Diceros bicornis minor: one gene and its partners. The protein of the gene in region 2 interacts with the protein of the main gene of each other region in a pairwise test. Links are inferred from orthologs where the notes say so. Each region holds a gene or a part of one and is shown on either strand. Other genes may lie near its edges.

The links.
Region 1: the proteins of BCL2L13 (region 2) and PLP1 interact in binary tests that used the Homo sapiens proteins (3 or more experiments, as listed by UniProt). The two-hybrid records come from large-scale screens. The link is inferred for Diceros bicornis minor from reciprocal best matches to the Homo sapiens genes BCL2L13 and PLP1.
Region 3: the proteins of BCL2L13 (region 2) and TMEM86B interact in binary tests that used the Homo sapiens proteins (3 or more experiments, as listed by UniProt). The two-hybrid records come from large-scale screens. The link is inferred for Diceros bicornis minor from reciprocal best matches to the Homo sapiens genes BCL2L13 and TMEM86B.
Region 4: the proteins of BCL2L13 (region 2) and PLN interact in binary tests that used the Homo sapiens proteins (3 or more experiments, as listed by UniProt). The two-hybrid records come from large-scale screens. The link is inferred for Diceros bicornis minor from reciprocal best matches to the Homo sapiens genes BCL2L13 and PLN.

What each region holds. Positions count from the first base shown.
Region 1 is NC_080781.1:96,811,833-96,819,228, reverse strand, and holds the start of PLP1 (myelin proteolipid protein), read right to left. Parts: upstream 3,003-7,396; 5' UTR 2,894-3,002; coding exon 2,890-2,893; intron 1-2,889.
Region 2 is NC_080756.1:61,801,458-61,809,360, forward strand, and holds the start of BCL2L13 (bcl-2-like protein 13), read left to right. Parts: upstream 1-4,901; 5' UTR 4,902-4,970; intron 4,971-7,903. UniProt on the Homo sapiens protein: May promote the activation of caspase-3 and apoptosis.
Region 3 is NC_080773.1:33,243,250-33,250,721, forward strand, and holds the start of TMEM86B (lysoplasmalogenase), read right to left. Parts: upstream 3,006-7,472; coding exon 2,646-3,005; intron 2,306-2,645; coding exon 2,249-2,305; intron 1,920-2,248; coding exon 1,685-1,919; intron 997-1,684; coding exon 614-996; 3' UTR 1-613. Other genes in the region: PPP6R1 (serine/threonine-protein phosphatase 6 regulatory subunit 1), read right to left, coding at 3,926-3,929, 4,022-4,093, 4,171-4,281, 4,669-4,750, 4,882-4,952, 5,056-5,236, 5,323-5,459. UniProt on the Homo sapiens protein: Catalyzes the hydrolysis of the vinyl ether bond of choline or ethanolamine lysoplasmalogens, forming fatty aldehyde and glycerophosphocholine or glycerophosphoethanolamine, respectively and is specific for the sn-2-deacylated (lyso) form of plasmalogen.
Region 4 is NC_080762.1:17,735,237-17,742,906, forward strand, and holds the start of PLN (cardiac phospholamban), read right to left. Parts: upstream 3,016-7,670; 5' UTR 2,955-3,015; intron 1-2,954. UniProt on the Homo sapiens protein: Reversibly inhibits the activity of ATP2A2/SERCA2 in cardiac sarcoplasmic reticulum by decreasing the apparent affinity of the ATPase for Ca(2+).

The DNA of each region.
Region 1 (7,396 bases), on a different chromosome or scaffold from region 2:
TCTGGACCTGAGGTTCTGTGGGCAAGGAGGGCATTTCTACTTTTGCTTTCTTTCAAGACCAAGAACTATACCCTGGGGATGATTTTCAGGGCTTCAAGATAATACACAAAAAATCAACAAAGAAAAAGATACCACTGGCTGGGGTTCTGCCTTGATGGGTTTGGATACTATATTTCCCCTCCCACCCATCTCCCAGGCATTTTGGGGGCCTTGTTACTACTCAGATAGCTTTGAGAGAATAGTTCTAATTGACAGGCTGTTGAGTAAACTTCTGGGTTTCCTAGCACAGAGCCAGGGCAAAAGCCCCCCGAAGCAGAGCAGACCTTCCAATCTGCCTGGGTCTCCAAGAGCACCTCTGGCTCTGCAGTGCCAAGGTGGGGAGTAGGGGGATGCTGTCCATGATCATTTCAGTCAGCGTCTCTAGGCAGAGAGTAAGTGAATATGCTGGTTTGGATCTGGTTTCTTTTTAGCTCCTGGCATTCTTGCAGGATTCTTGTCATCATGGTGGGATTCAGTTAGTTTTCAGGCATTTTGTAAAACTGGACCCCTGCTCTGCCTCCACACTTTTGGCCTGGGCTACCCCCACTTACTCTGAGCCAGCCAAAACTACACTGCTCGGCAAACAGCCACGTTTGGAGGGAAGCATCATAGTCTGGTTACCAGGGTAACAGCCAGTGTTCTCAGACAACAGGCTTGAGGGAGCCAATGTTTTGTTGTTCAGTAATGGCATTGTGTTACTGAGCAGAGAATAATCAGCTACTGCTCTTTGGCTCTTTTCCGGTTCCATTGTTATCCCAAAGACTCATTTGAAACATCCCTCTCCCAAGTCAGCACACGGTTTAATGAACTATCATTTCCCTCATAAACCTTTTGCATAGACACTACTGAATTCAGGGTTCCTCTTCACTTCCAAACCTATGAGATTCTACATGGTTGAGGTAGTGAGCTCCCTATTCCTGGAGGTGATCAAGCAGAGACTGTAGGAATGTTTAATTGGCTGTTGCAGAAGGGATTCCTGCATTGAGAGTTGGCTCAGACAGCTTCTAAAGTTCCTTCCAATCCCAGATTCCGTGATCTAATTTGTCTACTACAATTGTTCAACAGCAGCACACTCCACATCAGAAGGATTAACAGGTCAGTATCTTGTTAGAAATGGCCTATTATTTACAAAGCATTTGAGATAGTTATCAAATAACTGAAAACTCAGTGGCTACTCCATCATGTGCACTCGACCCAAGTATCACCCACCCCCAGGGGACTTCCCTGTGGTCACCTTATTTGTTCCTGCCTTTTCCTCAGGGCTTTCATCCCCTGAGAAAGTAATATTCAACATCTTTCTTTACTCCCTCTCCGTTTTCAATTCACAACCTACTTAATCAGCTGCCCTGACATTAGGAAAGGTTCCTGATATTACCTAAAGCAGGAATTGAGTTCCTCCAACATTCACCTCTCACCTGACCACACTCAATTGCTCAAATGATTCTTAGCCAAGTGCACAAAGTGCACACAAAGAAAGCCCAACCACTTTGGAAAGTGTAAGATCCAGCCTGTACACGCATTATTGTTGAATAATCAGTATTATCATGATTTACAATTGTTATAGAGCTCGTCCATTTTCAAACGACTTCCACATCATTATTACTTGATTTTCACAACCCTGAAAGTAGACGAAGCAGTTATGGTTATCCCCATTTTCCCGACGATGAAGTGATAATTCACAGTGACCAACCCAAGGTCAGGAAGTTCATGACCTTGGCAGATCTGGGATTCGAACCTAGTTGTGTTGATTTCTAGTCCATGCTCTGCCCTCTTAATTATTCTACCTGAATACATGCTTCAAAGAACATGTATGTGTTTCAGAATGAAACAACTTAAAGGCTGACACCAGCTTATTATAACTGAGAGCCTATTTCTGTGGATGTTGTTGGAATTTTCTAGGTGCTACATTTGGTGGTGAATACACGGGGCAATTGATTCTCACTTCATTTAGGATGCGTTCAAACTGTTACCCTTGTTTTGCCAAATGTGAGCAATGTCTACACAACTCTGTGGCATCCTGTGTGGACAAAGACCCTCGTGCTCTGCACACCTTGCTCTGAGTAGACACTACTAGAGACCAGACCTCATAGCTTCTCTCTGTTCATGAAACCTGGAGAAGCCCTCAATACTCAACTGAGTCAGCAAGAGCCCTAAGATTCCAGCAGCCTCCTGTCATAGCAGGGATTTAGAGTCTGAGCCATGTCCTCGGGAAAGCTAAGTCTGATATTTGCAAGAAATGATCACTTATACACGTGCACATACACATACACACACGCACCCCCCTACCCATATCCGTTTCCCATGGTAAAGCCATTGAGGACTTTATTTTCATTTCTTGAACCTGAGATTGGCCTCCTCAGCCATGGCCAAGCCTGAGTCCATCTAGCCCAATTCCCCAATTTCCTTCTGATGCCAAACAGGGTCCAAATTTTGTATTAAGCAAGCAGTTATTTTGTACATCTGAAGGCTAGCAAACACTCAGTTGCCTCCAGCAGAACCAGGGACATCAGCTGACCTGGCCATTACCAGGGCCTGGGAACCAGGGGAAAAGAGAAGGTAGAGGGAAGTGAGGGGGTAGGAGGACACATGACCGCATGCAGCCCACGGGGCACTCTCTCCAAGGATCTGTGGGACTCCCCACGTGCTGTTGGAGTTCTTTGGCAATAAAGCATCATTCTCAGTACAGCAGAGAAGGAGTTAATCTAATTGGGTGCTAAGGAATTAAAAAAAAAAAAGTGCCAAAACACAACTCATTTAAACCATTGGAAACTCCGAACCCCAAAGTTGGAAATCCTCTTGCAAATTCTTGTGCCTGCTTGAATCTTCCATGCTAAAGTTTTTGCAACTCACCCATGTCTTTGGGACTCGGACTCCAATTGTAGCCGGCTGGCTAGTCTGCTTTGCGGCTGACTTGGTTCAGCTGGAAGGATCCTGGTCTCTCCAGTCTCCTTCTTCTGTCCTTTACTTTTTCTCTCTGAGTATCTTTGTCCTCTTCTCCTGCAATGAAAAGGGCTTTCTGATTGACAGCCAACCCCCTTAAAGGGACAGGCCCGCTTTCCTCCTCCTCTCCTCCTCCCCTTCTCCTCCCCTTGTCTCCACCTCCTCAGGGATACTCCCTTCTCTAAGGACTCTATCTTCTCTTTCTTTCACTGCCAATTGTTTCATTTTCTTTTTTCTTTTTTTTTTTCCCTAAGGCTTGCCTGTATGGAGTTTCACTTTGCTGCAGAGACATCTGGAAATGTGGTTTGGGGATGGAAATAAAAAGAGGTCCTGGAAGCCTCCAACTGATCCTTGGGTCTATTTGGTGTGGGATGTGGCAGCACAAGTGTCAGAAGCCATGGAAGTGGTAGCCCTGGCGAGAGGGTCCAGGTCAAAAACCTTGCTGCTATCTCCCAGAGTCCTTCCAACTCTGCCCCAATCCCACCCCTCACTCCTAGCTGCCCTTGGCCTTGTCCACGTTTCCCCTCCCCCCATCCCTTGGCAAATAAGCACCCCTCCCCCGCCCCAGCTCTAGAAACACACTAGAGAAGAAAAAATTGTTTTTTAAAATAATTTCCTCCAAATCCATCTTGGTTTCCACCGAATGAGGACAAAACGCAAGCTGTTGATTCCACGAACAGATTGTGACCAAGCTGGGAGAGGCTACAATTGTAATAATTTTATAGATAGGATAACAGAGACCCAGAAAGGAGGCAAGACCTGTGCAGGTTCACAGAATAGCCTAAAGAAAAGGTCAGAGTTAGGGATGTGGGGGATTTCCAAGGAGGGTACTTGACTTTGAGACAAGTCAAGAACACGATCTGGGAATCAGGTAGTCAATATCCCATCCTGAGAATGTAGTGTCATTAGAGAGCTGAGGACAGGCTGGTGAGAGGCAGGGAGTGGGTTGGGGTGAAGCAGCAGGTGCCAATGAGGGTGGAGAGAAGGGAAAAGGAAATATAGTCCTTGCCTCAGAGACAAAAACACTAAGACTAAAATGGCCAAGCAGCAAAAACAGGGGCATAATGTATGAAAACTGCCTTACCAATAATAGTTATTTTTAAAGACTGCAAAGGTATTTGAGTGCCCAGTACTAGGTGGGATTAGCCTGGCAATGTTTTCTAGAAGAGGTGAATCTTAATCAGTGTCTATCTAGGCTCCTTGTCAGTGTTCTCTATCCCTTTAGGAGCCTCAGAGAGATGCAACTCTCTTGACTTTGAGGCCCACATCCTCTCATGGATGCCTGTAAGGAAACTGGTTGGCATATAACTGGAGGAGTACCTGTTGGAAGACTCCAGGGAAGGAAGGTATGGCCCTCCAAAGTTTTTCCTATGGCTTTGCCTTGAGATCAGAGAGGAGAGAAAGGAGGTACTGAGCAGAGCCTAGAATCTTCCTGTGAGGGGAGAGAGGCAAGATTATATCTTGCAATTTTCTCTATGGGCTGTGACCTTGGACACATTTCTAGCTGTTAGGAAATACGTGAGTCCTCTGCAGACGCCCCTGTGGGTCCACTCGGGTCCTGAGTCCTGCAGTATTTGAGGTTTGTCAAGAGTCCTAGAACTCTAGATCCTTTGCTTTTACACCAGCCCCAAAGAGAAAGGATCCCTGTAAATGCTGCCCCTTTTGCAGAACCATATAGCTTTCCAGCGCTGACCAGACTAAGGCCATATGACTGATGGTAGAGGGGCCCAGGACTCCTTACCTCGCCAGCACTGCTCTCCAGCCATAGATTCTGCCTGCTGAGGAAGTGGAGTTGTGGGATTGTGCCAACTATTAACTTCTGGATGGTGGTTGTCCCTCTCAGGAGAGGGAGGACCAAAAGCAAGAAGTCACCAAATATGTGCCCTCAGTTCCTCAGATGGCAGAAGGAACTGAGTCCAAACCTTGGGAGTTCTGATTTAGGGGATGAGAGAGATGGTTTTTCACAGCTCTGCATGCAGGAGAAATCGCTCAGGCTGAACCCTCTCACAAATCTGCCCTTGGATTCTCAGCAGTAGCTCTGGGGACTGCCAGGCTACTCGGAAGAAAAGAAGTGTTCCCCGTAAACTCACAGATACAAATTTTTCAACCACATTTCCCTAACACACGTTTCTCTTCTCCTTTCCTCCATCTCTACTGCCTTACTGTTCATTTTGTCTTCTCTCCAAGTCTCAATCTCTCTCTCTGTTTCTATGTCTGTTTCTCTCTGTGGCTCTGTATCCCCATCTCGCTTTCTTTCTTTTTCTCTCTCCACACTCCTTGACGGAGCATGTCTTCTTGTCTCCACCTTGTTCTTATGCCCAGGAAAGGGACAGTCACCTCGGTCAGATGACTGTGTCCTGTTCACTATCCCCAGTGCCTTAAGGTTCCCAGCTCCTCAGGATCTAGTGTATTGTAGTCACTCTGGACACCCTGACACTCTGCCTCAGCACCCACTCACCCCCCTTCTCTTGAGCCCTCCCCACAGCCCTCACAGGGTCTCTTTCCAGGTCCCCAAGGGGCCTTTTTTATCCATCCACCTTCACCTATTTCTGTGATTCTGCTTCCAATGGTTCTGCTGGGTGCCCTTGGCAAAATGTTCAAGTCCAGCTGGATCCCTGGCAGTGCCTAGGGATTCCTCAAGAGGGCACCGCCAGCCTTCTTGGTGGCAGCCTGCTGCCTGCACTGGGTGCCTGTGGGAACAATGCAGGATTGTATGAAACTAGTAAACAGTTTGCTTCATGCAATTCGTTTTTTTTTTTTTTTTGTGATGAAGATCAGCCCTGAGCTAACATCCATGCCAATCCTCCTCTTTTTGCTGAGAAAGACTGGCCCTGAGCTAACATCTATTGCCAATCCTCCTCCTTTTTTTCCCTTTTTCTCCCCAAAGCCCCAGTAGAGAGTTGTATGTCATAGTTGCACATCCTTCTCGTTGCTGTATGTGGGACGCGGCCTCAGCATGGCCAGACAAGTGGTGTGTCGGTACGCGCCTGGGATCCAAACCCGGGCCGCCGGTAGTGGAGCACGCGCACTTAATGGCTAAGCCACGGGGCCAGCCCCGCTTCATGCAATTCTGATGGTACCTCAGAGGATCTGGACCCCCTTGATCATAGGTTGCTTTGGTTGTGCAGCTTTCTTGCAAATAACTCCAAAACACTTGGATATGACCTCCACTCTCTGCTGTGTGATCCCATAGTACCAGATTCTTGAAGGCCACTAGGCAAGTGGGTTCTTTTTGCTCCATTGTATAGACTGAACTCTGAAACTCAGGAACTCTGAAACTCAGGAATTTCTCCCAGGAAACTAAATAAGGGCTCAAGTGCCCAATCTGGTGGTCTACTTCTCCGTGTCCATGTAGAAGATCATAAAGGGGAACAGAGAAGGCACAATACCAGTGAAAGCCTGGGGTCACCTGTTAGCATTGTGGCTTCTGGAACTGAGGCTTTGCTTCTTCTTCCCAAGATAATGTCCTCCAAGACAAAATTTAGGAAGGCAAGTGGCTTCCTACAGCTTTTCTAGCCCTGGCACAGAAGGCTGGCTGGCTGGCAGGCAGTATATTACATCTTATGTACTTGTGGCTAGAACTTTCCACACCCAACTTCATGCCAATTGGCTTGGCCTTGCCTTTCTGGCCAAGAGAACTGAAGGCTGAGAGCCAGAGATGTCACATACTTTGAGCTGGCATGGGGTGGGGTAAGTGGAGGGTGCTCTTCTTCCTCTCCTGAAGATTCAGGAGCAGTGCAACAATGGATGGGGGCAGAGGATGAGTTGGATGTGTATTTGCGAAAGGGAGATGCCCATGGCTTGTGGATAGAGTGAATAATGGCCTGGAGCCAAAATAATCAGATGAATAAGTTCAGGAAAGGAGTGCCTGGGGAGCACCAAATAGCTACTAGCAACGTGGAGAAATCGGTTTTCCACATAATCCACCACCATCGATGTGAAAATTCAGCCAGCTTTGGCATGGTGGTCCCTGCAGAGAGGCTGCATGTTTGATATGATCTGAACACAGCAGAAATAATACTACTCTCCTTGGTTGTCAAATATCCACCTAACTCATGAGGACCCATGTCATGTGTTCCATTTCACTGATGGGATACAGAGGCAGCTTCCCCAATGCCACCCAGCAGGCAAGGGACAGAGCCACCTCTAGAGAACGCCTCTCTCCAGACTCACATTGCTTGGAAGTTGCTTGGAAGATTGTTCTGCTCCCAAAGAATGTTTGAACAGAGAGCCTCTGGCCTGAGCAAGAACAACCAAGGGGAGGATGGACAGGCTTCAGGCTGCTGTGGCCCGAGTCTCCAACCCTCTGAACATCTCAGGCTAAACAGGAAGCCCACATTAGAAATCCAGGCAGGGCAAGTTGCATGCAGTTTGTAGATCAGTAGGATTCAAAATCAGTCAGTGGGGATTAGATGAT
Region 2 (7,903 bases):
TAGACTCCTAGTAGTAGAAGTATGGGTCAAAGGGTACACACATTTTTACTATTACCTTTTTATTTTGAAGAAATTTCAACTATAATAAGTTGTAAGAATAGTACAATGAACTCCCTTCACAATTGTTAACATTTAGCTATATTTGCTATATCTTTCCATATATATATTATTCATGACTATAAATAGTTCAGCATGTTTCATAACAAGAGTGTAGATGGATCAAATTCAGGAAATCTAACAAGTCCGTATTCAAATTTTGCCATATGTCCCACTATCCCTTGTAGCAATTTTTTTTTCTCATCTAGGATCCAGTCCAAGATCCTGTTGTATTATCATGTCTTTTTAGTCTCCTTTAATATGGAACGGTTCCTGAGACTTCGTCTTTCCTGATAGTTATGTTTTTGAAGAGTACCAGACATTTGAAGAGGCCAGTTGTAGAAAGTCTCTCCATTTGGTTTTGTTTGATAGTTTCCTCATAGTTAGACTCCGGTTATGCGTTATGGGAGGAGTGCTACATGAGTGACACTGTGTCCTCAGTGCCTCACATCAGAAAGCACATGTCACTTTGTTCTTTTCATGGGAACGGTGCCACATTTTTAGGGCTGCCAAATTGTTTTCCAGCTGTACTAGTGTATACTACTCTTTGTAGTGTACGACAGATTGGTACACATATTTGAGAAAACTGGTAACGTTGGATAAGGGAAGGATTCAGCCACAAGACAATAAAACTAATAGGACAAAGGACAACGAGGTTGACTTGAACTTGATCAGTATTCTAATCAACTGGGCTAAACCAGATGATAGGCTTGTTTCTCTCTTGTTTTTGCATTAGTAACTTCATTCTTCACCATCCCAGAAGACAGATTTCTAGGATTACGCCACCCTCTAGCATCCCTAGGTTAGGATACGGTGGTATTCACTTCTCTGGATTACAATCCCTCCTCCCATTTATTTTTACAATGTTCTGCAAATAACAGGAGTTGGGGAGTGGGACTGGTAATCCAATGCCCCATGTCCAATAGTTTATGAATTAATGTTTGGAATAGATGTAGTCCTGTCCAGATCAACGTGCTTTTGTTTTTTGGAAAGCAGTGTGCTGATCTTTATGATTTATTTATTATTATTTTGAGACATTAAAAAATTTAAAAAAGTACAAAGAATAATTCAAACATTCATGCACCATGTACCACTACCCATAAATCACAATTAACACTTGTCACATTTACCTTAAGACTTCATTTTTAAAATAAAAGAAATAGTGTTACAGATATAGTTCACATCCCCTTTTGTGCACCTCTCTCCTCCCCCGTGTTCATGCTCTTTACAACTAGTTTCTGCAGTATTTTGTTGATTCATCAGGGAACAGGCCAGGTCCTGTCTGATAGGAATGTGGTAAGCTTCACAGAGACAGTCTCTGGAGTGAAAAAGTTATTATAAGTACACGCAAACATTAACTAGTTGGTAGTTTTCCAAATCCAATTTCCTCCTATACTAGCTAGGTCTTGTGAAGAAGCTTTATTAAAACAGCTTTTCAGGGCCGGCCCCATGGCTTAGTGGTTAAGTGCGCACACTCTGCTAATGGCGGCCCGGGGTTCGGATCCCAGGCGCGCACCAACGCACCGCTTCTCCAGCCATGCTGAGGCCACGTCCCACATACAGCAACTAGAAGGATGTGCAACTATGACATACAACTATCTACTGGGGCTTTGGGGAAAAAAAAAAGGAGGAGGATTGGCAATAGATGTTAGCTCAGAGCCAGTCTTCCTCAGCAAAAAGAGGAGGATTAGCACGGATGTTAGCTCAGGGCTGATCTTCCTCACAAAAAAAAAGAAAAAAAAAAAAAAAACAGCTTTTCAGATAAACTCCAAAAATCCCACGCCTAGATAAGCCTATTTACTTATGGCTTCACCAAAATCACTGACCTAGATTCCTGCCAGGTTAGTCACAAAGAGATGGTCTGTATGCTCACTGTCTCACCTGCTCCAAAGCTGAGGCTTCAGTCTGCAGTTTAATTAGCCATTGAGTCAGCAGAATAGATAATCTAACTCTTGAGTTTTTTGCTGGGGGGTACACAAAAAGAGAGACTGGAGGTAAGTGTAAATAATCTGTCTTTGAATGTTGAGAATTTAATTTTAAAAAGAGAAAACATGGGCCGGCCCTGTGGCTTAGCGGTTAAGTGCGCGCCCTCTGATGCTGGCGGCCCGGGTTCAGATCCCGGGCGTGCACGGCTTCTCCGGCCATGCTGAGGCCGCGTCCCACATACAGCAACTAGAAGAATGTGCAGCTATGACATAAAACTATCTACTGGGGCTTTGGGGGGGAAAAATAAATAAATAAAATCTTTAAAAAAAAAGAAAAAACAAATGGTAACAGAAAGTAGTGAAACTCTAGTGCCTGCACTTTTTGCCCCTTTCCAACCCATCTTCCACACAGCAGCAAGAGTGATTTAAAGCCTTGATGGCATCTAGTCACTTCCCAATTTATAATCCTCTCGTGCCTTCTATCCCCTTCTGAACACCTTCCACCGGGTCTGAGCGCTGCTGGACGTGGCCCCTGCTTGTCTGACCCCATCACTCCTCTTCCCTTGGCTCCCCACCTCAAAGCTTTACTGGTATCTTTTCAGTTCCTGGAGAACACCAAGTTTTTTTGCCAGAGAAGTTCTTTTCCTCCACCTACCCTTTAGCTTGTTCTTCATTCTTTAGGTCTCAAGTTAAAATATCTCCTCCAAGAGAGCTCTTCATGAACACCCTTTTACCTTATTTTCTATTCCAGCCCCTGGTTTGTTTACTTCAGGACATACCACAATTTTAAATTTTTTTCTCTTTTCATTTCTAGGCTTTTGTCTGGCTTTCCAATGAAAATGTCAGCTTCACAACAGGGACGATGTCTGACCTACTCACCATTGTTTTTGCCAGCACCCAGCACACTGCATGGTAGATAGTAGGTGTTCAATAAATAATTGATGAATGAGAATGAATGAGTACAGTCTAGAGTTTAGATTTTATAACCACATCAAGCTGCAAGCTAAAACTCTGCATCACTCATAAGATCGGTCAAAAAAACCAAAAAACGCACAAACTGCTGTGATTAAAGTCAAGTAATTTCTGTAACAAGACTATAGCATTTTACACCACTTGACTATCCCTTTCCCCATTGAATAGCCTTGACACCTCTGTCGAAAATCAATTGACCATTCTGGACTTTCTATTCTGTTCCATTGACCTATATGCTATCCTTATGGCATACATTTGAAAAATAAAATAAAAAAGGGAAAAAAAGCAAACATTTATCAATGGTTCATTTTTGTTTTATTACTGAGTAATTTCCATTGTATGAATATACTTCAAAAAGTCAAGATTATTTTTATTTTTCCCCCAAAGCTCCAGTAGATAGTTGTATGTCATAGCTGCACATCCTTCTAGTTGCCGTATGTAGGATGCGGCCTCAGCATGGCTGGAGAAGCAGTGCGTGCGTTGGTGTGCGCCCGGGATCCAAACCCTGGCCGCCAGTAGCGGAGCGCGCACACTTAACCGCTAAGCCACGGGCCGGCCCAAAGGTTATTAAAAATAAGAGTAGGAGACTAATAAAAGAGGTAGCAACCGAATGTATTGCATGATCCTGATTTTTTAAAAAAACTATAAAAGCCATTACTTGGACAATTGGGGAAATTTAATTATGGACTGGTTATTAGGTACTATTAGGGAGTTTGTTAGCTCACTAAGCCTTTTCTTGGCAAATCTTTGTCCTATTTCTCTAATAATGGCAAGACCGTTTTCTCAGTCACTGAAGCTTAAAGCCTCTTATGACACCAGCTCCAATCTTCTTTTCCATTCCACCACCCAACCTTATATCAGGTTCATGTTTTTATCACTTCTTTTTTCAGTTTCATTGAGATATAACTTACATACCACACCATTCAACTATTTAAAGTGTACAATTAAATGGTTTCAAGTATATTAATAGAGTTGTGCTAACCGTCACCACAATCCATTTGAGAACGTTTTCATCACCCCCAAAAGAAACCCTGTACCCACCAGCAGTCACTCCTCATCAGGCTTTTATCACTTCTGACCTGGCTCCTTAGCAACAGCCTTCTAACTCCTCATCTTCAACGCTCTCCTTCTTCCAATTTATCTCATGTTGGAAGGGAGATTTGATCCTCCTAAAGCATGGTTTAGATACTGTACCCTCTGGACTAGGTACCTTCAGTGACTCCCCCGAAGAACGCTTGGGTTCACGTGAACAAACATCCACGGACACACATTCTCATCCAGGCACTGTGCTAAGTGCTGTGAACAAAACGCTACGACTGAAGAGCCCCTTTACCGCCATAGTGCAGGGCCCTCCACCAGGAAGGACCTCTCTAACCCCCCCCCCCCCGGAAATCCTTCCCAATTTCCAAGGACCATCTTCCCCACAAGTGGCTGCGAACTCGGCAGCTCTCGGGACTCCTGACACTTATCTAACCGCTTCCTTGCGCACACTTAAGCTCAATACTGGTCTACTCAATACAGCCACAGAACGTGTTCTGTGGATGTAACAGCGCTCCTTCCCGCGGGAACGGCCAGCCTCTCTCCCCGCACAACGACTCGCAGATCACCATCCCACCTCCCTTTCTCCAACCGCCAAAGGACTCCGCCACCGCAGGCACCACAGACTTGAGCGACTCCCGGGAAGAGCGGGCCAGGAGAGATCCGCTCTTCCGGGTCAAGTCTGCGCGAAGAGCCCTCCAGGCCTCTATGGCTCATGCTTCCGCTCGGGAGAACAGAGCCGCCCCCTTCCGGCGCTCCTCGGCGCCCCCGGACGCCGGCGGTGACGGAAGCACGCCGGGGGTGACCTCACCCTCCAACATGGCGGCGGCGGTAGATTAGGGCCGCGGGTCGGAGCAGCGACTGCCGCTGGGGGACCCTGTCGGAAACAACTGCCGCCGCCGCGTCTTTCATCTCTTCTGGGGCAGGGGCCAGGGCCAGGTGAGGGGAGCGGGGTTCCGGGCAGTAAGAGCTGGGTTCCTCACCCAGCTCCTCAGGCCATTTTCACTGGGTAGGACGGTGTCCAGAGTCTGTGCAGAACCACCAGCTCCCAGGGGGTTCCGACGACGCGTGAGTGAGTGTGTGACTGTGAGCGAGTGAGAGTGTATGTGTACCCGCGCTCCTCCGCCCGAGGGTTCTCGAAGCTTACGGGGTCCTTTCATCACCGGACCTGTCTCGGGTGGTCCCCTCGCGGGGGGTTGCTGAGCGGGCTTCCCGAGGGAGCTGCCAGAGGAGTAGCGGCTGGGCCCTTGCCCTGCACCCCTGTTCTTCCGCCCAGATACCTTCACGTGAACACCCCGTCCATTTTTAGGACAAGGTGGGGGAACGTGGACTTCTTTTTGATCGAGGAAAAGGTTTTCTTGTGATTCGTTTAGAGTGATTGTAGATGAGCTCTGCCAGTCCTAGTCGTTTCTTCTCACAGTGTTAGAAATTTTTTATTCTTTATTCACTGCTGTTCTGATACCCATTATTATTATTATTTTTTTCCCTGGAAAAACCTGCCTTCTTACCCTTGGAGGCACTACGGTTCACACTAAGTCGTTTCCTCTTTTGACTCTTATCCTCTTAGCATTCCAAGGAGGTGCCAAGTGTCTTTCCTTCATAACCGACTATGAAGGAAAACTCCCAGACTTTGTGAGTTAAGGCTTTAACCTAGGTTGAAAATCGGACAGATGTGGCCTGTTCACAGGCTCCTGACTGATAGCTTTGTTTAGTTCTTAACCACTCCCGGCGCTAGTGTTTGTTTATCCAGAATAGCCACCTGAGTCTCTTTTTAGGAGTTTTAAACTAAAGTCAGAGTGCCCCCCGCCCCTTTTCTTTATGATGTAAAGCAAAACAAACAAGTCTTTTTGCGAAATTGTCAGTAAGATTTCCCCTGGAGGTTTGGTGTGAACCAGAATTTTGATCTCTGCCCTGACTTGTTGTGTGACCTTGGATGAGTTGCCACACCCTTCTAGTACCTTCTTTTTTTTTATCTTCCAGAAAATCAAGCAAATGTTTGTGTAGGTAGTGAACTGTTTATACCTCATGTACACAGTTGGATAAATGTACACTGCACATTTGCACCTGGAAAATGAAAATATTTAAACCATTATGAAATATTCTTTATTTGATGATAGGCCACGAAGGATTTTGAAAATCCTTTTACTTTGGTCAAATGCTATTTTCGGTATTTTTTTCCAAATGATTCGTTTTTTTTTATGGAGGACTGTACCCCAATAGTTGAATTCAGTTGAAGGATATGTAAGGTTGAGTCCCACCAGTTTTGTAAAGAAAAGATGTGCTCACTAGCACAATAGTTAATCAGTATTTACTAAATATCTTATACCTAAGATATATACTCCTGTATATCTTATAAGCTTTTGGGACAAGTGATTTGCAACAATAATAATCATTGTTTTAAAAATATATTTCTGTTATGAAATATCTTAGACATACAGAAATTTTAAACAATCACTTGGTACTGTCATCCTGCTTTTTATTGTTTTTCAAACATGATTTTGATTCATGTCTTATTCCAAATAAATGGTCACCAGGAGTTCTTAACATATATTACAGAGTTGAAAGAAGGGGGCTGTTTTCAGAGTAGCTGATTTTTTAATAGCTTTATTGAGATATAATTAATACCATACAACTCACCAATTGCAAAATTCAGTGGTTTTTAGTGTATTCACAGAGTGTGCAACCATCATCACAACTTTTATCACCCCAAAAAGAAACCTGTACCCATTAGCAGTCATTCTTTATTCCCACTCTCCTCCATCTCTCCTACCTAGGCAACCACTGTTTCACTTTCTGTCTCTATAGAGTAGCCAATTCTGGACATTTCATATAAGTGGAATTATATAATATGTGGTTTTTTGTGACTGGCTTCTTTTACTTGGCATAATGTTTTCAGGGTTCATACATGTAGCATGTATCAGTATATCATTCCTTTTTATGGCCACATACTATTCCATTGTGGATATACTACATTTTCTGCATTAATTGATGGGCAGTTACTTCCACTATTTGGTTGTTATATATAATGCTTCTGTGACCATTCATGTGCCAGTTTTTGTGTAGATGTGTGCTTTCATTTCTCTCTGGCATATCTCTAGAAGTGGAACAGAGTAACTGCATTTTATATCTCCCTTTTACATGAGCTATCTACATGTTTATGGGAAGCCTAATTAACTTATTGTGAAAATCAGACTCTGTTTATGTGTTTGTGGGGAGAGAGTGAGAGGGAGGCATTCCTCTGTAAGTACATTATCTTTGAGTGCCACGTGCTGAGTGAAAACAGTTTTGGGCAGCTGTTAACACAAGATCAAACTAGAATGTTTCAGTTAGGTATGTTTCAGTTGGAAAGGGATAGTCTACACTAGAATACTTAGTGTCTGCTGAGTTTTAAAAATGACGCCTTGCTCAGTTGCATTTCTCAGCTGGATGGGGTGAATTTTTTCAATTTCACAATTTTTGTTAGGATTATTTAATTTTACTTCTTTCATTTTGGAGAAAGTCCTGGAATTCTATAGGAGCTAAGAAAGCATGGATTAAAAAATACAGTTATTGAGACTTCATGTTAATTTGTGGACCTTTAGAAAAATTACCTGCCCAAACCACCAGGGAGTCTTGAGACTAGAGATCTGGTAACCAAAAAACTTTGCTAATGTTTAAAATTCCAGAGTTTTGATTTGTGACTGAGTTATCTGTGGATTTTTATTTTTCTCTTTTAAACTAGGATTATAGATCTGTTCTACACCATATTACTGGAGTATTTAACAAATCTTACTACATTAGAATTTTATTTTAGTGGAAAGAAATGGTCTAAAAACAAAGAGCTTCCTGAAATAATTTAATTAAAACATGTTAAATTATGTTTCTGTTATGGT
Region 3 (7,472 bases), on a different chromosome or scaffold from region 2:
CCAGCCCCGGGCACGAGGCCTGCTCACGGGGAGTCTGCTGTGTGCATAGCTAACAATACCGCACTGGACACGTACAAATGTGCTACGAGGATACACCTCACAGTAAGTGCTCTTACCACGAGAATAAAAAAAGATGCAGTGCACGACACTGTCAATATCCTTAACGTCACTGAATCGTACTTAAAAATGGTTACAACGGTAAATTTTGTTGCAGAAAAAAAAGAACTGTTTGTTGTTATTATTGTGATCACCCCTCCCCCAACACCCCACTCAAAATAACGGAGATGTCGTAGTTTCAAAGTCCACTTTACTCAGGCAACAAAAAAGCTTAGGGCCAGAGGGAAGAGGGCAGGTGGCGGGAGGGCACAGCGCGGGTCTGGGTGGGGGCCTGGAGTCAGGACGGCGGGGAGGTGGCGGGAACTTGGCGGTGGATTCGGAGTTGTGCGAACAGCTCCCACACATCTCCAGAGGACCAGCGCCTGCAGACAGGAGGCCGGGGAGCCTGGCTTCCGCCCCCGGGGATGTTTCTCAGGCAGGCCAGGGGGGCAGGTCTGGGAGGCCCAGGTCCTTGCAGGAGGGGAAGGGGCAGACACCCGCCCGCCTCGGCCCCTGGTCAGTTGGTCTGGAGCCCAGGGCTCTGGAAGGCCGACAAGGCGATGAGGACCTGGGCGGAGTAGTAGGTGGCCATGACCACCATGCGGGCGTGGGGCAGGGGCTGGACGAATGTGTCCCAGGCCAGCACAGCATCGGAGAGCGTGAAGAGCAGGGCGCCCCAGCTGGCGCTCCCACCTCTGGCCAGGCCACGCCACAGCATGGTGGCCAGGGCCAGGGCGTAGGCCGTCAGGGGCGGCACCATGCCGGGTGAGAGGTGCAGCAGCAGGAGGCCGCAGTACGGCACCGAGGCCAGCACGATGGGCAGCAGGAGGCCTGGCCGCAGGGGAGTGAGGCCGAAGGCCCGGATGTAGAGCAAGTGGGCCACAGCAAAGGCGGCCACGCCTGGAGGAGACAGGGGTGGGGGCGCCCCGTGAACCGCCGAGTCCTGCTTCCCCAACTCAGCTCGCTGCCCAGAGCCTGAAGGACAGGACTGTGCCGGAGCACCAGCTCCTCTCCTGGCCCCAGCACCCTCATCCTCCAGGATTACTGCACCGGCCTCCGTGGTTGTCTCCCTTTTCCCCGCCCTTGGCCCGAGAGCGATTCTAAAACGCACGCTGCGTTCTGTCCTTACTCTGCTCACAGCTGCCCACCGATTGTCCATTCTGCTCAGCTCCACTCACCAGGCCACTTGGAAGACACACCGCGTGCCCCCACCCCAGGGCCTTTGCACTGGCTGGACCCTCTGCCTGGACCAGCCTTCCCCGGATGGACACAAGCTGGCTCCCGCACCCTCTTCAAGACATTATATTCTCAGCAAGGCTGTCCTCAACTGGTCTACTCACGACAGCAACCCCTAGTCCCTTGCTTTTGTTTCCCCTCCGCACCACTCACGCCTCCTAAGGGGACACTGCCTGACTCTCAGTGGAACAAGGGCTCCATGAGGACAGGGGTTTGCGTGTGTCTCGGTCACTGCTGGCCCCTGTGCCTTTCAACGCTGCCCGCTCATGGCAGGCACTCTATCGGGGAGCAGCCCCCTGCGCCCCAGACCCCTCTGTGTGGGGTCTGACAGGGGCAGTGCGGCCCCACTCACCGTAGAGGAAGGTCGCGGGCCAGAGGAGGAAGGCGTCCCCCACGGCCGAGCACAGGAGGCCCCCCTGCAGGAGCGCACTGGAGCGCACGGCCCGCAGGAGCACCACCAGGCAGAGGACAGGCAGGCACTTGACCAGGGCGCCGACCCAGGACGGTGGGGCCTCGGGGGTCCACAGAAGGAGGTAGACAGCACAGGTGAGGAAGAAGAGGCTCAGCCACCTGCCCACGTACGGCGGCTTCGGGGGACAAGGGGGCTGCTGAGTCTCTGGGGCTTACCCCAGCCCCTGAGACAAGGCTCCAAAACCCTCCTGGCCTCAGGGGCCTCAGCCAATCTCCAGCCCTTGGTGGTCAGGCCTCACCAGACCAGAACTCAGGTCTTGGGGCTTCCACCCCACCCTGACCTGGGGACCCCAGCCACGCTGCAGGGTTGGAGGAGCTGCTCAGGGACCAGGACATCCAGGCCCACAGACCCAGCCTCCCAGAAGGGAGGACCCCCCAATACCTCCAGGCTGCTTGGGTTCCCAGAAACCCAGGCCCAGTCCCTCCTACGCTGGACGGTCCTCACTTGGGCTGAGAAGCGAGACTCTTGGGGAAGCCCCTTTTTCCCGGCATCCATGTCAGCCTATAACCCCCCGAGAGTGGCTCATATGTGGGCACCAGTGGCTTTGGGGGTGGAGGGGATGGCGTGTGGTTACACGTTAACCCAAGGGGCGTCCCGTGGACTCTGGGACTGATAACAGGGCCCAGGGAGCCGCCTGGTACCCACTGATAAGGTGCCCTTCAGGACCCAGGGGTCCCTACTCTCCTCACAGGCCCCCGTCCCCGGGGGGCCGTGCCAGCCAATCAAAGGGATGGGGTGCTGGGGCAGGACGGAAACTGCCTCATCCCCTCCCCGCCATACCCCTGCGGTCTGGGCTCTGGCCTCAGCAGGGCTCCCCCAGCTCCTTCCCTGCAGCACAGACAGGCCTTGGTGGCCTCCGCCACAAACGCTTGCTGGACGAGTGCACACCAAGGAGTTGTGCGAGGTCACCGTCACCGTGCCGGCCCCCAGCTCTGGATGTCACGTACATGTCGGGCAGGCGTGCCTGGTCTGTGCCGTAACTTTCCGCGTGGAAGGCATGGACCCACTGGGTCCCCGGAAATGGTTGCCAGGACCAGGTCCCAGACAAGGCAGGCCACTCCCGGCTCCTCCTCCTGGGAGACTCCTTCCTGGTCTGAACAGAGGTGTCGCCATCCCCAGCAGAGGACAGAGGTTTGGAGCCTCCTTCCACTCTTTGAGGCTCGCACCCCAAGGCTGAGGGAGGGCCGGGGTCCTGTGGCATGGTGCGGGAGCGGCTCAGGCTCTCCCACCCCTGGGCCCAGAACCCCAGGTCTGAGCAGCAGGAGTCTTCAACTGTCTTCCTTTATTTATTTATATTTGCAATATGAAATAGAAGCTCAGCACGAACACACGCACACTCACGCCGGCTTGGGGAGAGGGAGCTGGGACAAGGTCACTTGGCAGCTGGGCTGGACCCCAGGCCCTTGGGCATGGGAGGGGGACCCCAGCCGGACCCCTGCCTCTGGGTCTACGGGAGGTGCGGGGGTCTCGGTGAGTGCATCAGGGCCCCGTGGGAATGACACCAAGGCGGACCCCCTGGGACTGGGACCCCAGCCCCCACAGAGCTGGCTGGGCCAGGCAGAGGGTCCTTTAGCTCCCAGCTCGGGTGAAAGTGCAGGGTCCGGGGCCGGGGGTGGGCAAAGGCACAGCCCGCACTCGGGCCCTCCCCGAGGTGACCTGAGCTGAGAGGCCGTCTGCACCGGAGGGCGGGGGCGTGGCGGGAGGGGAGAGGGTGCAGGGGCCCTGCTGGGACACGGTGAAGGTCCCCCCTCGCCCCTCGGCCTGGCTTCCTTCTGGCTCTCCTCCCGCCCACTCTCTCCCCCTCAACACATATATATATTTATATATATATATAATATATAATATAGGTCTCTCTCTCTCTCTCTCTCTCTCTCCTCTCTCTGTACTCGACTCTTTATCTTTATTCTGGGAGACAGACTCCGTAATTTCTTTTCTCAGTGCAGATGCGGGTGGGGGTGGGGGGCCTAGCTCCCTGCACCAGCCTCCTGGGAGTCCAGAAAGAGCGTGGGCGGGGGTGGGGTGATGGGGCAACCGGGCCATCGTGGGACCCGCCCTGCCCCCCACCCGGGCAGGTCCACATGGAGTACGGAGGACTTGGCCGCCACGGCTGGGACCAGGCAGTTACCTGGGAACCGACAGAGAGAGCCGTGTGAGGAGCCACCCACCGCCCTCCAAGCCCTACCCGCAGCCCCCAGTCCACCTGCCCCAGCCACTCACTGGGAGCCCGGGCACAGCGGCCCTCCCGGGGCAGAGCCATTGGGTATCGGAGGCGGCTCAAGGGCCTGGGCACTGTTGGGGAGAGGGCATGGAGAGGTCAGTACCTCTCCACATAATGCCTGCTGCCCACGAGGCCACCCCGTGCTCACCTCTGGCTTCGGGGGAGCCCCAAGGGCTCTGGGCTCTTCTCCCCCTCCGCGGTCTGGGGGGGCTGGTGGGCCCCAGGGGCTGGGACAGAGGTAGCAGGGTCTCTGGTTGCACTGAAGAGGGTCAGAGGGGTTACGGTACCGATGCCCTGCTGGACGCTCTCACCTCCCAGCCCATTGGGTAAGCGGTGAAGGAGCGCACAGCCAGGGGAGTCCTGCACGTCCACGGGAGCTCCACACGGGCTCAGCACACTCCCGTCCCCTTCTGGAAGCCTTCTGGCCCCTGAGGTTGAGCTCCCGGGGGCCTCTGGGCTCCAGGATCCCTCTCTTGCGCCCACGTGTGGCCATAGGCACAACCTGCAGCTGCCACGAGGCCCAAGGCAGCGGCACGGACCTGGAGTGTCCGGCAAGGGCCCTTCAGAGCAGCTCCGCAGCAGGGACAGCCCAGGGTCAGCTTCCACCCGCCTCCCCCTTGGCCAGCAGCTGGCCCCAGCTGGTCACCTGTCCAAGGAGCTGGGGGTGGAGCACGTCCCTCTGTGGGTGGCCTGGAGGTCCCCGACGCTGACCAAGGCCTGGCAGGGGGCTGTGCGGGGGAAGAGAGGCCCAGAGGCTGGAGACTCAGCAGGTTCTGTGCTGCCTCGCTCCTCAGATGGGCATGTAGAAGGCCCGGGGACGGCGGGGAAGGGCGACGGGGTGTGGAGGGCAGGGGCTCACCCGAGGGCTCCGCTACTTTGCTGCCATCTGTGGCTTCCTGAGGTGCTGAGGGGGGTGTGGGGTCCTGAGACCTGGGAGGTGAGAGAAGTAGCCCAAGGGGTGCTGGGGTCAGCACTTGAGCCCAAGGGAACCAGGACCCAGGCCAGTGCCTCCCCACCCTGCCTCCTGCCTCACCTGAGCTGCAGCGCATCACGGGCTGCAGGGCCAGCTGGGCTCTGGGCTGGGAGGTTCCAGGGCATGGCGAGGGGCCCCTGTGGGACTGGGGACCCAGGGCGAGGCTCCTCCTCCCTGGAGTCTTGGGGGCCGGTCATGGCGTCCGTAGGCACTGGCTTAAAGCTGGCTGTCCAGTTGGAGCCTGGGGTGGGGTGGGGGCAGGGTGAGCACCACAGGCAGACATCTTGCATGTGCCCACATCCCGCCCCACTCCACACGTTCACCTACCCGGAGGCTGAGGGCCGGGGCTGGGGTAAGAAGGGGGCCCGGCCCCTCTGCTGGCTGCCCGGCCATCGCCGTCCTCCTCCTCCTCCTCATCATCATCCTCCTCCTCCTCCTCCTCGCTGTCTGTGCTGCCTCCACTCCTGCCCCCAGAAACCACCCGTCAGCTGCGGTGCAGAACAGAGACACCCGTCTCCACCCTCCGACCACCCAGCACTGACACAGGCAAACATCTGTGAGGGAATGAACAGAGGTGACAAAAGGGATGGAGGGGAGGGGACAGCAGGGAAGCCACGGGAGGGCACGTCAGAGGCCCCCCAGCCCAGAGTGTGAAGACGCCTGGAGAGAGAGCCCTGCGTCCCACCACGGGAAGGCGGGCAGGAACCACGGGTGCCCATGTGGAGAGCAGCACAACCCCCAGCACCAAGGGCAGGAAAAGCCCCACAGCGGGGTCCGCACGGAACGGACCCGCCCACCACCTGGTCTGGCCTCTCAGGGGACGGCCGACCTGACACTCTTCCTCTAACTACAAACTCGGATGGACTTGTGTCCCCACCATATCCTCGGCTGAGAGCAAAGTCCGACATGCACAGCGGCTCCAATGACACCGGCTGAATGCTGACTGAGAGGCGACTCGGGAGCGGGGAGAAAGTCCGACTGGCCTGTGTCCACCCACTGGCCAACAGCTAAGCAAACTACACGGTTTCTACAACGCTGAGAGCATGCCGCTGTCACAACAGTCATCCACTACTCTAACCAGAAAGGACTATACCTACACAGAGTTAAAAATAAACTGAGACAAACAGCAAACGGGGAAGAGGAGGGAGCTTCCTAAACCTGAAAAGGGCACCTCCCAAACCCGCAACCGGCATCACACCCGCTACTACACCACACTCGACGGGGAGGACCAAGCGCTCCCCTGAGATCAGGAACACGACAAGAGGGCCGTTCTCCCCGCCTCTGGTCCAGACCGTGCTGGAGGACACTTAGGCAACAGAAAGTGAAGTCAAGTGGAAAGGAAGGAGCAAAACTCTCTCTAATTGCAGATGGCATGATCTTGTCTCTAGAAAATTCTAAGAAATCCACTAAAACGGTTAGAACTAGTGAGTTCTGCAACGGTGCAGGACACAAGATCAATGCACAAAAATCTACCATATTTCTACACACCTGTGACAATCTCAAAACGATTCTGACAAAACAATTCCATTTACAATTACACCAAAAAAAAATAAAATACTTCGGAATAAATTTAACAAAAGAAGCATAAAACTTATACTCTGAAAACTCATACAACGGGGAAAAACTGAGAGCCATTCCTCTGAGAACAAGAAAGAGACAAGGGTGCCCCCTCTCACCACTCTTATTCAACACAGTACTGGAGGTTTGGCCAGAGCAATTAGACAACAAAAATGAATAAAAGGAATCCAAATAGGCAATGAAGAAGTGAAACTCTCACTATTTGCAAATGACATGATTTTACATATAGAAAACCCTAAAGAATCCACTGGAAAACTATTAGAAATAATCAACAACTACAGCAAAGTTGCAGGGTACAAAATCAACTTACAAAAATCAGTTGCATTTCTGTATGCTGTTAACAAATTAACAAAAAGAGAACTCAAAAAGATAATCCCATTTACAATCGCAACAAAAAGAATAAAATATCTAGGAATAAATTAAACTAAGGAGGTGAAAGATCTATAGAATGAAAACTATAAGACATTACTGAAAGAAATCGATGATGACATAAAGAAATGGAAAAATATCCCATGCACATGGATTGGAAGAATAAACATAGTTAAAACGTCCATACTACCTAAAGCAATCTACAGACTCAATGCAATCCCAATCAGAATCCCAATGACATTCTTCACAGAAATAAAACAAAGAATACTAAAATTCATATGGGGCAACAAAAGACCCCAAATAGCTAAAGCAATCCTGAAAAAAAAGAACAAAGCTGGAGGCATCACAATTCCTGACTTCAAAATATACACAAAGTGGTAGTAATCAAAACGGCATGGTACTGATACAAAAACAGACACACAGATCAACGGAACAGAATTGGAAGCCCAGAAGTAAAACCACACATCTAAAGACAGCTAATCTTCGACAAAGGAGCTAAGAACATACAATGGAGAAAGGAAAGTCTCTTC
Region 4 (7,670 bases), on a different chromosome or scaffold from region 2:
CACCTCGCAACAAATGGGGTTAAATATTTTAAATGGTAGAATATGAGGACGTCAGAAATGAAATTGAGGAAAGCTAAGGATTTAATATGGAACTGGAATAAAACATGAAAGTGTGGTTTTTGTGAAAAGTTTTGAGGAGAAATTAACCTAGATTTTAGATATCAAGGCTAAATAGATAAAAGGCATGAATATTTTAGCAAAGCAACAAATAAAAGGAAACATTAACTTGATTGATTGTGGCATGTTATTGTTTTAAAGTCTGTGCAGTTATTTTGAGTTTTGCCTTGCAGGGTGTATTGCTTAGTAACTGTGGTCATCTATAACTTTCTTATATCCCTGGCTTTGAAATGATCAGGAGGATATTATGTAGGTTACTAAGGACGTAATGCCTCGTGTGTAAAGTAACTTTAAATGAAATGGAGTGGTTTTAAAGTTCGTATCCTCCAACTTTGCCTTTTAACATACCATTTTAACAGTATTTGAGGTCTTGCAATTTATTTTGCTTTGCCAATGTCATGATTTATTTTTAAGCCGTGTTGATCAGTGGATGGGATGTGCAAATGAAGAGTTATAAAACCTCAGCTCCTGCCAAGCCTCCACCATTTCCTAGCTCTGTGACCTTGGGCAATTCACCTTTGCCCATCTGTTTCCTAAATTGTAAAATAGAGGTATAGTGTCAAACATAGAGGGAGTTAAGAGCATCAAATGAAATATTTGTATACACCAATGCATTTAGAAAATTGTTCAAGAATAAGGAAGGAATTTGTTTTTAGGATTGGTAATAAATATTAGCTAATTTAGAGAGGTAATCTAATCTGTACATTTAATTTTTACTTAAAATTTTAATATATTACATAATTTGGTACATTACATAATTAATATATTATGTAATACTTTAATACATTAAAAATTTTTTTTAACTATTTTGTTCATACAGATATTCTCTTATCTCCAATTTAGTGATATTAAGAAACAATATGTATAAATATGTAGCCAAATGTAATTTTTTTCTGGAATATTATTTTCCTTTATGTCCACTAAAATACTTTTAAAATGATGTTGATGCTTGAGTTTTAGGAAATGATTGTCACGTGACTCTTCTTAGTAAAGCAGAGTACTCTAGCTCTTTCGTGTGTTTAAAACATAATGAATTTTCATAATTAAAACATCTTTCACATTTCTTCCATTTTATTTCATCTGACACTTTTTTTAGCACTTAGTTTTAAACCACATGTCTTTATAAACAAAGACAATACTTAAATTTCACCTTATGATAGAGATGAACTAGTTGGGACATAACGTCCGACACTAGGGCATTATGTTTGAAATTCGAACAACGGTCACTATAACTATGTAATTTCTATTAATCTAGACACATTGTTTATCTAAGGATAACTTTAATAGCAGAATTTCTGCTCTTTCTAGAAATTATCAACTTTTTGGAGCAATTTGTGATGTGGTGAAGTTCTGATACTATAAAAGAACTCATGAGCATCCCTTTTGAAGTGTGAGAACGTAATTTGATAGGTATTTTAGTAAAAATGCATAAATATGCATATAAAACAGCCACACTGAGTGACTTTTGTGTAATAGCAGAGGAAGAACATTTTATGAATATAAAGATATTGAGAGGCAGTTAGGGTGCCTCAGTGGTAGACAAAAATTAGAAATGTTTTGGCATCCCATAAGGAAAGCTGCTTATATAGTTACAAAGTTCTTATCCATAAAAAGCAGTAAACATTTGTCCTAAGGACTTAGAATTCTAGAGGTAAATTTTATTTTGACATATAGCTAGGAAAATAAAAATAGTCAAACAAAATCGATGTGATGTTCTTTATGCCCTGACTGAGATTTAAGAATAAAGATACACTTCATATATTAAATTGAGGATTGTAGTAACATCAAGAGTAGAGCAGAATTCAAACAGAAGTTATAAAATTTATTGTGGTGTCTCCATTCCTGGGCATTTTTTTTTCTTTTTTCCTCCCCCTCACCTTTTAAATGCAGAAGAGGAAACTGAGGAACACTGGAAGATAGTAACTTGATAAAAGTATATTCATTAGTAACTTGATAAAAGTATATTCATTAATAGGCAGAATAAACATTCATTTTATCAGATTCACTCAAATCAGATATTTAGGAATGTTTATGCTGCCAAAGTAACGTCTATTTTTAAAGTTCTGAAATACTATTTTGTAACTTTAGAACTTTACATGTGTTTTTGACAAGTATTTTAAAATTTCTGAACTTGTTATTTATGATATACTGTTGAATTTAATATAAGTAACTCAATTTATTAAAAGCTTGGATTTTTTTTTTTACAAGTGTTTGGTGAAAGTTGACTGGATTTTATAGATAAGAAAAAAGTCTTCAAAAGCATTTTAAAAGTAGTTTGTATTATATATTCTTAAACTCTATTAATATTCACTGTAAAGAGTCATGATGATAGTATCAGAATAGTCATGCCAATAATGTGCATGTTGTACAATCACACGACTGTTCATAGTATTTTAGATATAAATAGCGCAATCCTCATTTCTCAGCAGAGTAAAAATAACAAAGTGAAGCTATTGTTTTTGCATGGAGAAATCAAATCACCACTACCACCAAATATGTAAAATAATTGAAAGATATTTCAATTGGCAGAAATTCACTTTTGAAAAGCAAAATAAAAGTGAAAGTTAAATGAAAATGACAAACCAATAACCAGGACCAAAAATGAATGCGACCCTTATTTTAAAGTTGTCTTATTCTTACTGCCACTGAATTTTATTTAGAAATTAAAAAATTAGCATTTATTTACAAATTAAGCTTTTTGTCATATCAGACACTTTATTGTATTGTCTAACTTTAAACTGAAATTTACAAAATATGATTAACTCTTTTTAAAAAGTACAGTAAGTTTGAATTATAGAAAGTAAGAATTACCAAAATCAGTGACATCTGTTTCTTACCTTGGCCGTTGTGATGATCACAATTTAGAGTACGGAGTTGTGTGAAGTGTTATCTGCGTTTAGCTGGAAGGTTTTCTGACTCTGTTACCAGATCTGTGGGAACAATTGAAGTAGGTGGAGGAGAAAAAGTGTTCTAGGGAGGTCTTATGATGTCACACAGGAATTCTGAAGTAGTGATTGGTTAGCTATCGTCTTATCACAACCAAACTTTTTGAACGTCATTTATCTTAATTTAAGTATGGAAAGGTCATTAACACTTTGTGCTTCGTTTTTTTGTTTTTAATTTTTAAAAGTATATGGAAGATAAATGAAAAAAATTTGAGTAAATTGGGGGGATAGAAAGCTGTTTTGAAAGATTCATGCATCTTCAGGTTTAGAAATACTTGTATACTGGTGGTGATAATGCTGAAGAACTAAAATAGTTATAGTAATGGTAATTTTAATAGAGTGAGGATAATAATAGTGGCTTAAGCCAAGCAACTTTCATTGAGTTGTTATTGCTACTGTTTCTTTAATACTGCAGCTTCGTAATGTTAGCTTCTGGCAAGACAAGAATTAAACATTTTCACAGAATCAAATTTTATACCTTTTCTGTCTTATTTGTTTTCTCTCCTCATACCTGCGTGTGTATGGGGGAGGGAGAGTGTGTGAGAAAACCAGGCTAATAACTGATTTTCATTTTAAAAAATTAGCTTTATCTTATAAAGGAAGAACTAGTAAATGTATTTAATTCACCTGTGCTTTCTTTAATTAGGGCTTTAACAATATATTTATGAATAGTAATTCTCCTATTTAAACTGATATATATCATGCTAAGAAAAGTTTACAGAATTAAAATAAAAAATTTTAAAAATTTACAAATTTAAGTATGTAGGGTTTTTTTAACAGCTGCATTAAATTACCATCAAGTCTTATAAAACTTTTATAAGCTGAAGCAGTATGAAGAGTGACTTTCTAGCAACAAAGAAATAATCAGATTCCTAATCAGTGGCATCCTAGTTAATGATACTTTATTGACAGTAGGTGTGCATGTGTTGGAAATTTAAGTTGTATAGTATTTCTAAAAGGATGTGCCTTAATGCAGTAGCTGTTTTCCTGAAAATTATTATATAAATGAAATTTTAGTAAATGGAATGAAATTTTTGAACTTCCTAGAACAGTTTATCTTATAGTAGAACTGGGAAAAGAATTTTTTTGAAAACCCATGCATCATTTTCCTGTTTCTTCTAATTTTTTGTTAGTATATTAGATTTACTTAAATCATCACACCTGCAAATTCTGATTCTTAAATCTCTTTTGTAAATCTGGAGTAGCTATTCGTTAGTTTTTAATTTTTTTATACTTATTGCAACGTGAACTCAGCCTGCTTCACTTTCCTGTGGGTGACTGAAATGCGCTGCAGCAGCTGCTCATGTGTCCTTACATGGAGATGATTTTGGCTTCTTCCAAAGAAAGATAAAATCCTTCTCTAGAGAAAATCTCTCGTTATTTAATGAATCAGCTAAAACTAACAGAAAAATAATATTTCAGCAAAGACCTTCTGTGAACATTGCTAAGGGAAAATTTACAACTTAAAAGTAAAACCCCAAATTAAAGAAATTGCATGAATAACGTTTGACATTTTGCTCAGTACTCTACAAGCATTTTTTCTTCCAATCCTTATATAATAAGGATCTGTTATTATCATCAGTTGCCAATGATGACTGCAATACAAAACCTAGGCTTGAAATACAGGCCTAAAGTGGTTTATAGGAATTTGTCAAAGATGACAGAGCTGCTAAGGGTCAGACTGAGGAGTCAAATCCGGATCTGTTCAGTTATAATTTCCAGATAAGTTGGCAAGTTGTGGGAGAAAAAAACAATAATAATTTGGATATAGATTTCATAGGGTAGCATACATCAACTAAGAAATTTTAAGATGGAGATAGATTAATTATCGAAAACTTACTATTTTTAGAGAGTTTGCTTTTAAGTTTGTCTGCCAGTTACACATTGATTCGAAAATGAAGTTTAGGGATTAGATCATTGTAGTGTGAGCACCTCTAGTTCTAAGAAAATAGAATTAGTCTTAGTTGGATAAACTAAGAAACTGCCCTAGACTGAGTAAAATATGCCCTGGATATCTCACATGTTGGCAGATTTGCTGAAAAAGCATACATAGGCGCCACACACACATACGTGCACACCCTTAGAAGGATAGTAACCGTGTGTCAGAGTTGGAAAATGGACACAAAATTTAGACTTTTCAGCTGCATAGGAGAGTGGGGAGCTTCTTTGTTCACATTGTTCCTTTTGGTTAGCTGCTGCTGCTGCTTTTTATTATTAGTAGTCCCAATGGAGCTGTAGGAAGTGTTAGGTTTTAGTTTTAGCCTGATTGTCCAAACTGAAAGTTGTTGAATAGGAGCATCAGGTGAACTACAGTATAATCAGTAGAACGTTCCTCACAATTCCACAGCTGGGGTCTGGAAAATGTTTTAGAGGTGCTTTGTCAGAATCTTCATTTGAAGTCAGACTATAGTTTGAATCCATTTTTGGTCACATGACCTTATACAGACAGCTTCCCGAAGCTGCCTTCTTTGTGGAATGGGTTTGTTTTGAAGGTTTAATGAGATGAAGGATGTGCAGTGACTATTAGAGATCCTGCAACACAGTGTCCATTTAATGTTAGTATTTATTTTTTCTTTTCTGTTAGATGATGATTCTTAACTTGCAGCATATGGGTAGAGTTCAGTGATAACTTGGGTAGGAAAAAAGTTACATCTTTATTTTCATTAGGCTCTAAATGAGATTTAGCATTTTTTCAGTTTTGACCTTAGACCACAAACTGCGCAAGTGTCAGCGGTGCGTTTAACTGTCACCAGAGCAATGTCAGATCATTTCATATATTATCGTTGTTGCACATAGCTTGAAATACTGTTTACATTCATCACTACTTTGAAATTACCATCATTAGACCTGCCTGTAAATATTGTTATTTAATGCGTTAATAAAGAAGCGCAAATATTACATCACAAATTTGTTTTTTAAAAATAATTATTTCAGTAGAATTCATTTCCTTTCTAATTCTATGCATCTTATTTATTTTTTTAAAAAGTTTTATTTTAGAACAGTTCTAAATTTACAGAATTATTGCAAATATAGTACAGAGAGTTCCTGTATACTCTACACCTGGTCTCCCCTGTTGTTAACATCCTACATTAGTGTGATATACCCATTTGTCACAACAGTTGCACCACTATTGGTACATTTTTTAGCTAAAGCCCATACTTTATTCAGATTTCCCCAGTTTTCCCTAGTGTCCTTTTTCTGTTCCAGGATCCCATCCAGGATTCCAGATTATATTTAGTAGTCATGTCTCCTTTGGTCCCCTTGGTTGTGACAGTTTCTCAGACTTTCCTTTTTTGATTACCCTGACCATTTTGAAGAGTACTGGTCACATATTTTGTAGAATGTTCCCCACTTGGGATTTGTCTGATGTTTTTCTCATGGTTAAACTGGTTAATGTGTTTTTGAGAGGAAGACCAGAGAGGTAAAGTGCCTTTTTCATCACATATCAAGGGGACATAGTATCAACATGACTTATCACTGTCGTTGGTAACCTTGATCACCTGGCTGAAGTGGTGTTCATCTGGTTTCTCCACTGTGAGTTACTCTTTTTTCCCCCTTCCTTACTTTCCTCTCCAGAAGAAAGTCACTATGCACAGCCCACGGTTACACTTCACTACCTTAGGAGTGGAGTGTCTACAAAAATTATTTGGAATTCTGTGTATTTTATGTATATAAAAACATTCTGAGAACAGAGCATCAGGCTTTGGCAGTCTGCCAAAAAAGTCCACGGCACAAAAAAAGTTGAGAATTCCTGTGGATGTTTAGCAGATGTTTCTGTAGTGGTATGAGGCAGCTCTTTTTTGAAAGAGGAGGACTGAGTTCTCCAACTGAAGTCTCTAAAATCCAGACCTCTTAGTTTGCTTTTTTAGGTCCTGTCTTTCTAGCTTCACCTCTTATCACATTCCTTTGTATCCTGTGCTCTGGCCTGTTCAGCTGCAGTGGTCCTGTGAACAGGCTATTGTTCTATTTTAAGCCCGCTACTTTTTGTAGGAATGTCCTCCTTACCAGCCTTTATTCCCAGCAAAGTACTCTTTCTTCTGTGCAGCCCTCCCTGCTTTATGCCAAACAATTCTGCATGCGCCTCTATTGTTATCTGTCTCTTTGTGTTGTGTTCCTTAGTGTACCTGCCTAGACTAGACTGCAGCTTCTTGAGAGCTGGGCCTTTAACTCATATTCATACCACTGTTTATTCTTTATAGTACTCTTACCTAGTAGAGAACCTGGCTTTTAGTAATTCTTAACTACTGATTGAATGAATGATTAGATGAGTGAATAAAGGGGGAACTGGGGAAGATGGCAAGGTTGTACTGAATGACTATCTTGCAGAAGTAAGTCTTAGGGACAATTAAAAAATCCTTCTCAATTTTAAAGCTCATTGTGGAGGAGGAGAAAAAGGATGTGACTGATTGGGAGATTTGGGATAAGAGTAGAATAACTGAGAAAATAATTTTCTTTCTTGTCTTTTAAAAATGTCATAAATATATTTGGAGAATAAGAGCCAAGGAAGGTCATAGTATAAGCCCGTGCTTCCTAAATTGAACCTTTAAAAAATTTTTTTTTAAATCTTGTTTTCTTTCCTCACTGGAGTCATAATAATCCATGGTGCTT